Tribolium castaneum: one gene and its partners. The protein of the gene in region 1 interacts with the protein of each later gene in a pairwise test. Links are inferred from orthologs where the notes say so. Each region holds a gene or a part of one and is shown in the gene's direction. Other genes may lie near its edges. The genes, in order: Sumo, lwr and Su(var)2-10.

The links.
Region 2: the proteins of Sumo (region 1) and lwr interact in binary tests that used the Caenorhabditis elegans proteins (3 or more experiments, as listed by UniProt). The link is inferred for Tribolium castaneum from reciprocal best matches to the Caenorhabditis elegans genes smo-1 and ubc-9.
Region 3: the proteins of Sumo (region 1) and Su(var)2-10 interact in a two-hybrid assay, tested with the Caenorhabditis elegans proteins (2 studies listed by BioGRID). The link is inferred for Tribolium castaneum from reciprocal best matches to the Caenorhabditis elegans genes smo-1 and gei-17.

Annotation. Positions count from the first base shown.
Region 1 is NC_087394.1:15,056,827-15,059,890, forward strand, and holds the end of Sumo (small ubiquitin-related modifier 3), read left to right. Parts: intron 1-2,042; coding exon 2,043-2,177; 3' UTR 2,178-2,457; downstream 2,458-3,064. Other genes in the region: uncharacterized protein LOC659449, read right to left, coding at 2,475-2,762, 2,810-3,064. UniProt on the Caenorhabditis elegans protein: Ubiquitin-like protein which can be covalently attached to target lysines as a monomer. Does not seem to be involved in protein degradation and may function as an antagonist of ubiquitin in the degradation process.
Region 2 is NC_087399.1:9,253,895-9,258,014, reverse strand, and holds the start of lwr (SUMO-conjugating enzyme UBC9-B), read left to right. Parts: upstream 1-1,157; 5' UTR 1,158-1,305; intron 1,306-1,357; 5' UTR 1,358-1,364; coding exon 1,365-1,430; intron 1,431-1,479; coding exon 1,480-1,563; intron 1,564-1,615; coding exon 1,616-1,878; intron 1,879-4,120. Other genes in the region: transmembrane inner ear expressed protein, read left to right, coding at 934-1,019. UniProt on the Caenorhabditis elegans protein: Accepts the ubiquitin-like protein smo-1 from the aos-1-uba-2 E1 complex and catalyzes its covalent attachment to other proteins with the help of an E3 ligase such as gei-17.
Region 3 is NC_087396.1:21,167,162-21,169,333, reverse strand, and holds the end of Su(var)2-10 (E3 SUMO-protein ligase PIAS2), read left to right. Parts: coding exon 1-357; intron 358-410; coding exon 411-645; intron 646-691; coding exon 692-855; intron 856-899; coding exon 900-1,067; intron 1,068-1,123; coding exon 1,124-1,413; 3' UTR 1,414-1,639; downstream 1,640-2,172. UniProt on the Caenorhabditis elegans protein: Functions as an E3-type smo-1 ligase. Mediates smo-1 conjugation to air-2 in vitro and is required for proper chromosome alignment.

The DNA of each region.
Region 1 (3,064 bases):
CTTAAAAAATTCGTATCTTTATTAAGTTATTTTGAATGATACAAACAAACAAAGATAAGGCAAAGACATTAAACATATTTTTATACTTTTTTACGAATAACTTAACGATTTTTTTTCAACTACTCGGACACCTTTCACATTTCATTGACAAAAGTGTGATTCCCTATCATTTTTGAGAATGATGTGTCGAAAGTGCCCTAAATTTGTTCCACACCATTGTATAATAAAATAACTTGTATTTTTTTAAAATATAAACAATAGGGGTTGTGACATTGGAAACGCTATTTTTTTCTGATTTCATATACCGGGTGCATGTATCTATTTGTATGGTACACAATTTTTAAATATTAAATATCTTTAGAACACATATTTCTCTTTGTAGTTGGTCATCAAAAAATTTTGAATCTTCATTTAGAACTAGTAGTATCGGGTACTATTTATACAGGGTGCTCAAAAACTGGCGCACCAACTCAGTGGTACGTTGTTGAGAAGCATGTGTAGATAACGGGAAAAATATTGCAAAAATTCCTAGTCATATTTAAAAAAATCTGGAGCTACAAACTTTTTTTGTTAACTTCTTCAGTTTTCATTATTTTTTAATGTTTTTATGTTTCGCACTAAGTAATCATTCCCTAACAAAACGATGAATAATTATTTTTAAATTTCCTACGACTTTAGCACTTTTTTTTAAAAATAATATTTATTAAAAAAAATAAAATTCAAAAAAAATCACAGTTAGTAGATGTGCCAACACTGGGAATTATTTCCATATCCACATATCATTTATCTAAAATCCGTTATTTATCAATAACTTTAATACAAAGAATTTTTTTACTATTTATACCTTTATATGTAACCAATTCTCTTCCACACTCCATTGAGTTGGTGCGCCAGTTTTTGAGCACCCGGTAGTTTCACGATTTTTTAATCATTTAATTTTAATAAAACTATGAGGCGGTTGTGTATTTGTTCGATTAATAACATTAACATACTATATAATTTCACATTTTTTACTACAATAATCGTTCACCTTTTACGTGAAATACTTTTCCCATAGCCAACTACTATTAAACATTCATTATGTTTTTTATCAAAAGTACTATGTAAAAATATCGAATTGCATTTATATCTTTTTCAGAAAAAAATAAACTTTTCTTAAATGTCACAGTCAACTATAATTTCTGTTTAAAAAAATACATCTTATGTTATTATTATAGATAAGTGAATGAATGGTTAAAATAATCGTCAACAACATTATTGAATTTTTCTAATTTTTCGTCTATGTATCTTTTATAATAAGGAAGATACGTTTTTTTTTATAATTTCCCTAAAATGTCAACTTGTTTGTAACTCAAAATCATAAGACGATTGCAGGATGCAGTTTTGACCAAAAGTATTTTCTTAAAAACGTTCTCGAGAATGTTTCACTCGTTTTTCTAAACCTCTTAGTTTCAGGGGTGCCCTATTCGGACTTCCAAAATTACCCCCTTTTATTCTTCTGTTAATTAAAAATAAAAAATAACTTGAAATTTAAATAGGAAATAAAATAAAAACAAATTACTGATAATTACAAAGAAAAAGCTTCATTTTATTGTTCTTGCATTATTATAAAGGAGGTGTTGTTTTTTGCATATTTTTTCAATAATTAAACATAAACCCTAACATAAAAATAAAATAAAAAATAATGTTATTACTCAAAAAGTCAACAACCAATGATGTCATAAATGTTACTATGGTGTAGCATTTACAGAAATAAAATCGACCTGTTTGAGGATTCTTTAAAAATTACAGATAACCTATGATTATTAACCAGAGTTGTTGTTTTTTTTTTTATAAATTATTAAAATTGCGTTCCGAGCTCATCACGAAGAAAAGGTCTCTTTTAAGTGATTTAACATTTTTATTGTACACTAGAGAGTGTTTGGGGTTTGGTTTGAGTCTATGGTGACAGTGACTGGCTGAATCTTTAGTGTAGTATTTATTACAAAAATGAATAGTTTGAGTTGTGCTGCAGTTGCAAAGTTTTGCTTTTTTAATTGCAGGGCTTGAGCATGCAGGTCGTGAGGTTCCGATTTGATGGAACCCCAATCAACGAGACGGACACTCCAACATCCCTCGGGATGGAAGAGGGGGACACGATCGAAGTGTACCAGCAACAAACTGGCGGATATTGTTAAAATTAATTTTATAACGCGGCTTACCTTGTAATTACCGCTAGCATTGAGAATCTCCCAGTGTTCGTGGTCAATTTGAGGTAGTTTATGTATAGATTTAAGCTAGTTTCTAATATAATTTTTAAGGTTAATCGAAAACAATACTACTTAAATGAGCACTTTTTGTCGCGTTTTCAATGTCTAAATTCCTGTACCGCAATGATTTTGTTTTCAGTTTTAGTGAAACTTCAGTTGTGTATTTCTTATTCTTAAATTAAAATAATACAATTCTTTTGATAACTTAGGGGATTTTTTATTGCCTTAATGTTTTTTCGATTTTTTCGTTTTTACAGTTTTTTCGGTTTGGCTCTTGTGAGTGAACACTTGATCACCACTTGACCTGAAATGTAGATTTCCATATACAGTGGCGCCCAACAAACATATTAGGCTAATTATGGCAATTGTCTCTACCCTGTTTGGTAGAGGGACACCACAGGCTGTGTACCAATAGGAGCCTTCGGACGGGGGCTTGCCTCCAGGTAAACAATGCCAATCGAAATATTTCTCATCGTAATCTGTTGCGCACAAATATCTTCGTTTTTGTAACGTCTGAAAATTATTATTTATTGATTTATTTCACTTAAGAAATATCTCACCATTCCGAATGCGGTTTGAATTGGCACATATTCGTCACAAGGTCCGATTGGTTCTTTAACACCCATCGCAATTTCATCCTCGGGGTTGAAAAATATAGGAATAATCAAAAAACTGATATAGTGTATGAATAAATGGGCGATCAATAACCAAGTACTCCAGTATGTAGTGTGTTGATTATTTTTCGCCTCAACTGTATCTTTCGGAGTGCGATCAGCCGACCATATAATCAAAAGGAAAATCACAAACAGTATGAA
Region 2 (4,120 bases), on another chromosome or scaffold:
ACTAGAGTTATTTTAAGGTTCTTTTCATAAGCTCTCACTAAACCTAAATTTATTCGTTTACAAAATATTACAAAATGTTTTTAATTTTTTTTTGGATTTGCACCTTCCAGTTCAAAAACTGATAACTCTACCACTTTTAAAAGATTTTAAATCTTTTTCAGCTTATTTAAAAGAGGAAGCCTAGAACTTTCCTTTGGCGTTTTCAAATTTCTAAAAAAGAATAACAAATAATTAAGTTATAGGTACCTGAAATTGTCCAAACTTAACCTTAAAATTTTTGGGTTTATTAACTTCATTTTCAATTTTAAACACACCAAAGAACAGATAAAGGCCTTCTTTTTTAATTCTCCTAATATGATTTCCAAATCGCTAAACTAACCGAGTTACCAATTTTTTAAGTGACAGGTGCAAATCCAAAAATTTTCAAAAAATCTTAAATATCCTAAAAACGGTAAATTTTAGGTATAGGGAAAACTCTTAAAATAACTCAACTAATCCAAAAACGCAGTGAAAAACATAGCTTTTCATTTAAAATAAGAAAGTTAACAGCGACTTCCGGTATAACCGGAAATGCTGCCATCTTGAAAATATTTTCATTGGCAGAACTTAACGGATTATGATTGACTACCAACTTTTAAAAAATTTCTTTATTAGAGCTTTCAATACTTCTAAAGTAAGGTTTAGACGGAACAGCCTGTAGTTTACCATAAATAACAATAAGCACTGAAACCTTTAGCCTGTATTTGAAGAAAACGCAATTTAAAGTGCACCCTCAAACCAATGTATCTTTATGGGAAAGCCCCGAATCTTTATTTTTTTCTGTATTTGAACTACTGAATTAATTTCTCTTTAGTGTTCTGAACTCCGAAATCGTCAATTTTGAGCCACCTTGTATTTTACGGTTTATTGAACCTAATTATTAATTTTTTGCAGCCTTGAAACTCATTCAGGAGGATTTTGACCAAGAAAATGCCAAGATCCAGGCAAAAGTTGATTTGCAGCAAGTGACGTCGAACTAATCAAATTCGCGCCAATGTTTTTGCCGCCAAATAATTATTACACAAATCCGGGTTTTTGTATTCGTTAAATTTGTTTAAAATCATACACGAAAAGTTTGAATAAATAAATTGTTCTGGAACAAATAATCGGCGACAGGGTGGCCAACACAAGTCGCGTCTGCGCGAATTCCCCTACCTGTTTTCCCAGTTTTTGTCTGTCAACTGTCAAGAAAGCACCGAAGCCCGTTAAATTTTCCTTTAGAGTTTGAATAAGGCCCCATTAAATACCCCAGTGCCCACTTTTAGAGTACGTTTTGGTCATTTCGTGCGATAATTTTGAGGTAGAGCCTGATTTTTAGTTCTAGGATGTCTGGAATTGCTCCCGCTCGTCTCGCCGAAGAACGCAAAGCTTGGCGCAAAGAACATCCTTTTGTGAGTAATTCCTTACAAAATTGCCCTCATGTAATCCATTTCTCCGCAGGGATTTGTGGCCCGACCGTCGAAAAACCCAGATGGCTCTCTAAATCTAATGAACTGGGAGTGCTCAATTCCTGGTAAAAAAGGGGTAAGTTTGTTGCATTGTTTAGTAATTGTTGGGTTATCGCATTGTTGTGTAGACGCCATGGGAGGGTGGAAATTACAAATTACGCATGTTGTTCAAAGATGAGTACCCAAGCATTCCCCCAAAATGTAAATTTGAACCACCGTTGTTCCATCCAAATGTGTATCCGTCAGGTACGGTGTGTTTGTCGTTGTTAGACGAGGAGAAAGATTGGAGACCGGCGATTACTATTAAGCAGATTTTACTCGGAATTCAGGACTTGTTGAATGAACCCAATGTTAAAGATCCAGCACAAGCAGAGGCCTACACAATCTACTGGTAAGTGGTTTTTTTACGGGGTGTTTACATTTGACGTAGTCAAGAGTGCTGTGGATATTGTGATCACGTGATCAAGGAAATTTCGTATCTAGTAATCCATGAAAATGAAAACTTAGTTTCGTAAAGAAAAGGCACTAAGACAATAAATGGACAAGGTTACACTACGGACATCTAAAGGTTAGGATACGAAATACAAATTAGTACAAATAAAGCGTTATTGTCCTCGATAGTTCCGTTAATGTCACCAGAGGGCGCAGTTGATCCATTAGCATCAAAGCCAGTAGATATACTAAAGTAGCGACACGGACCTTGACAGGGCAACAATAACGATTATATACTCTAGAGAGGGCGCAACTATCGAAATTCGACATATACCGCATTATTTACATAAAATGCGTAGCCTTGAAAAGCCTTAGTAAGTGCGTTTTGTCTCTGTTTCTACGTTTAATCTTCACTAAATGAAATTGCTAAAGGGGATGCTCTAAAGAGATATTCGTTAAAGGTCACATTAGATGATAGATTTAAATCGAGAATGTATTTAAACAGGCAGTTTAGTTTTCCAAGGCTCGACATTTTTTGTAATAACGCTGTAATTTTAAAGGTTCGCCAAATTGTCAGTAATTTTGAACATACGTCAAAACTGTCAAGATTCTCTCACTTTTGAAAAATTGGTAAAGAGCACAGTGATTCTGGCGTTCATCTGTAGTTTTACTGTGGTTATTGGTTATGAACAGATTTCATGGAACTTTCAAACCTGTGCTTAAATCACGTAAATAATAAATCGACACCAAAAACATTAAACAAAAGGGCCTCCAGACTGTTCAAAGTCGTCCACATTACGAAGCACGTCTGTGTGAGAATACTGGAAACTCATTCAAACAAAAATTGTTTCAGAAACATAAAGTGTTAGGTACCAACTTGAAAGAGAAATTTCTAAGATACCAAATTTTCAATAAGTATTTCAGGTAGATTTAAACAATACTTCCTTGAAAATTCTTCTAAATTATTAGATTCTGTCCTAATGGGAAAGAATTTAAGACCGCTCTGCTTACACTGACCTTCGTTTCACAAAATTTAATGCATCTAAATCTGGGAATTGTAGCGCATCGAAGTTTGGTGGACTTTTTATAGCCACTTATTTACAGCAACTATGGTATGCAACATTTAAATAATAAAGAGAAATTCAGGTTGTATTATTTCTATTTCTTAGGTAATATCGAGGTGTAAACCGTACCCCAAATTTTGTACACCTGTAATTTAATCATGATTCCTTCTGATTTTTCCCTAAATTTTTAAAGTGATTTCCTTAAAATTTCTTGATTTACTCAATTTTGTACACTGATTTCCTCTGCGGTTTACCTCTCGGGTAATATTGAAAACATTTTCTATTCTTATTGCGAAAAATGTCTTGGTTTCATAGCAGTTGTTAATAGTGTTGAGGGAAAAAATTAAATTTAATTAAAAAAAAATAAATCGACCAATTTAAAATCTTGGAGTAATTACATACGATAAACTGTAAAAACACTTAGAGAGGAGTTTATTAAAATTAGAAATGTAAGTATCACAATTTTTTTAAATCAAACAACTATTATTTTGAAACGTGTTTTTGGCTTTTTCGTTAAATACAAAGTTCAAATTCTTTTAAGGAATGAATTCACTGTTGAAGCGCCAGCACCTTCTTCGAAATGTCCATAAGAGTTGCTGTATTCTGCGCATTCTAAAAGCCTTTCTCATTGCAATGTTCAGTTGAATTTAGGGACGATCTGATTTACTTTTACGTGAGTGAAGCACAAGTTTGAAGGTTTCATGGTATCTGTACACATAAACTGTAATAACCAGGGTGAAATTAAAGACGATCACCGAATTCATTGTTCTGATTCACCAATTTTTCAAACGTGAAAAAATCTTGACATTTTTGACGTACGTTTTTGAATTTTGATGGTGGAGCCATCTGTAGAGTGTATAATCGTTATTGTTGCCCTGTCAAGGTCCGTGTCGCTACTTTAGTATATCTACTGGCTTTGATTAGCATCAGGTTTTCAGAGCAATGAATTTAAAAAAATTGTTGGTAAATTTTTACTTTAGCTACTTCTGGATTTTTGAAAATTTTTTTTTTGCATTTTGCTTTAAAAAGCCTCTAGATCAAAGATATGACCTTGAAAGTTTGTGCAAATGCCCCGTTTTTGAAAAATTCGACCTTGAATGACCTTGACCTAAAAATTTTTTTAAAATTTTTCCTTTA
Region 3 (2,172 bases), on another chromosome or scaffold:
ATTATGTCAAACAAGTACAATTGAGATTCTGTCTGTTGGAAACAACATGTGAACAAGATGATTTTTTCCCGCCGAATGTCATCGTCAAAGTTAACAATAAACCATGTCCTCTACCAAACCCAATACCAACAAATAAGCCGGGGGTTGAACCGAAACGACCACCAAGACCGGTTAACATAACGCCAATGGTTAAGTTAAGCCCCATCGTGGCCAACATGATTACGGTGTCATGGGCGCCGGATTACGGACGAGGGTATGCCATTTCAGTGGCGTTGGTACAAAAATTAACTTCGTCCGATTTGTTGCAACGGTTGAAGGCCAAAGGACCCAAACATTCCGATTATACGCGTGGATTAAGTAAAGTCGTGTTTTGGTCCGAGTGGCGTCAGTTAACTCGATTATTATTTTAGTTAAAGAAAAATTGAAGGAAGATGCGGATTCTGAGATCACGACGACTTGTCTCAGAGTCTCTTTGATCTGTCCTTTGGGCAAAATGCGCATGACGACACCGTGTCGTGCCATCACGTGCAATCATTTGCAGTGTTTTGATTCGTCGTTGTTCCTACAAATGAATGAGAGGAAGCCGACTTGGACCTGTCCAGTGTGTGATAAACCGGCCCTCTACGATAATCTAACCATTGATGGGTAAGCTGTTTTTTTGAGACAGACCGATTACAAAAAAAAAATTCAGTTATTTCCAGGAAGTGTTAGCTTCGCCTAACCTCCCACCTGACTTGAACGAGATTCAGTTACACAAAGACGGCTCTTGGAGCACCCAAGTGTCCGATAAAAAAGTGACAAAAAGTGAACACGTGCCGATCGATGACTCGATTGAAATAATCGGCGATGACATTGGTAAGTCACCACTCGGCTCCGCCTCGTCTCACCTCCCCTTTTAGAATTAGTCACGTCAGGCACAACTGCAACTTCCTCAACTGATAAGTCAAAAGACGATAAATCGAAGGATAAAATCGTCGATTTGACGTGTTCCGACTCTGATGATGACGAGCCGTTGGCGAAACGTCGCGTCGTTAACCCGAAGCCTGACTCGACCATCAAATTCTCAGGTGATTTGAGGTAATGCTGTTGTTGATTGTTAATTGTTTGTTTGTGGTAACTATAGATACGACCAGTATTTCGTCAAGTAGCAACCAATCGCGTGTGACTACGACTCCAGGTCCGTCGAGTGTTTCTAGTTCCGGATATCCGGCGAGTCCGTCAATTATTACGTTGGATAGTCCGTCCCCGCCCCGTTCGCCGAATCAGGCCAATCAGCAGCCGGCTTCTTGTATGTTGGCCAATCAGAACGGGACTGGGAATGAAGCTGCGTCGCTGTTCACGCCCGGTTCGATGCCGTTTTTGGATTTGGAGAACGAAGCGAGTGCTAATATGAATTATACAACCGGGTATTAAATTCAAAGTTACCGTTAAGTCAAAAGTTAATTTAATTTCAATAAACGTATTTTTGTACATAAGTTAGTGTTAATTAAGCTTAATGAACTTTTTCTCAGTAGTGTGTTACTCCAGTTAGGTTGAATGTCTTATTTTTCTATAATTGCAGGTTTTTTATTTATAATTGTTTCATACCTATTTGTTTTTTGTGAAAACTATAAGTCGTAATAAATCTTTTTTTGATAAAGTTCGTGTTTTATTTACATGGTTGAAAATACACAACAAAAAACATGGAAATATTTAAATAGTTTGTGTTAAAATATCTGCAAAAGATGGTCAGTAGCTGGGGCCTAGTGGCCCAGTGGTATAAGCGCCACTTACGACGGGGGAGGTCGGGTGTTCGAACCCGGATCAGGGTGAAAATTTTTCTCTGAAAAAAAGTGTAGAAAAGGAAGGTGAAACAACACGTAAACAAAAATAAAAGAGGAGAACACATAGACGTATAAACGTAAAGCGGAATTTAAAAAAAATGCTGGAACGTCATATTTAAACCTACTTGCATTACAGTTGTAAATAACATTTTAACGATCGTTTTAGACGTACATATGAATGTATTTTGTTAAATAGAATATCAATTTTTTAAGCTGTATAACTGGTTGCATAATATTTATTGAGACGTTTAAATTTTTAGCCAAATTTCTTTGCCATTATCTTATCAAACACCCGTATTGTTTATAATAATATTAAAAATTAAAGCCGAGATAAAAATAAACAATTTCC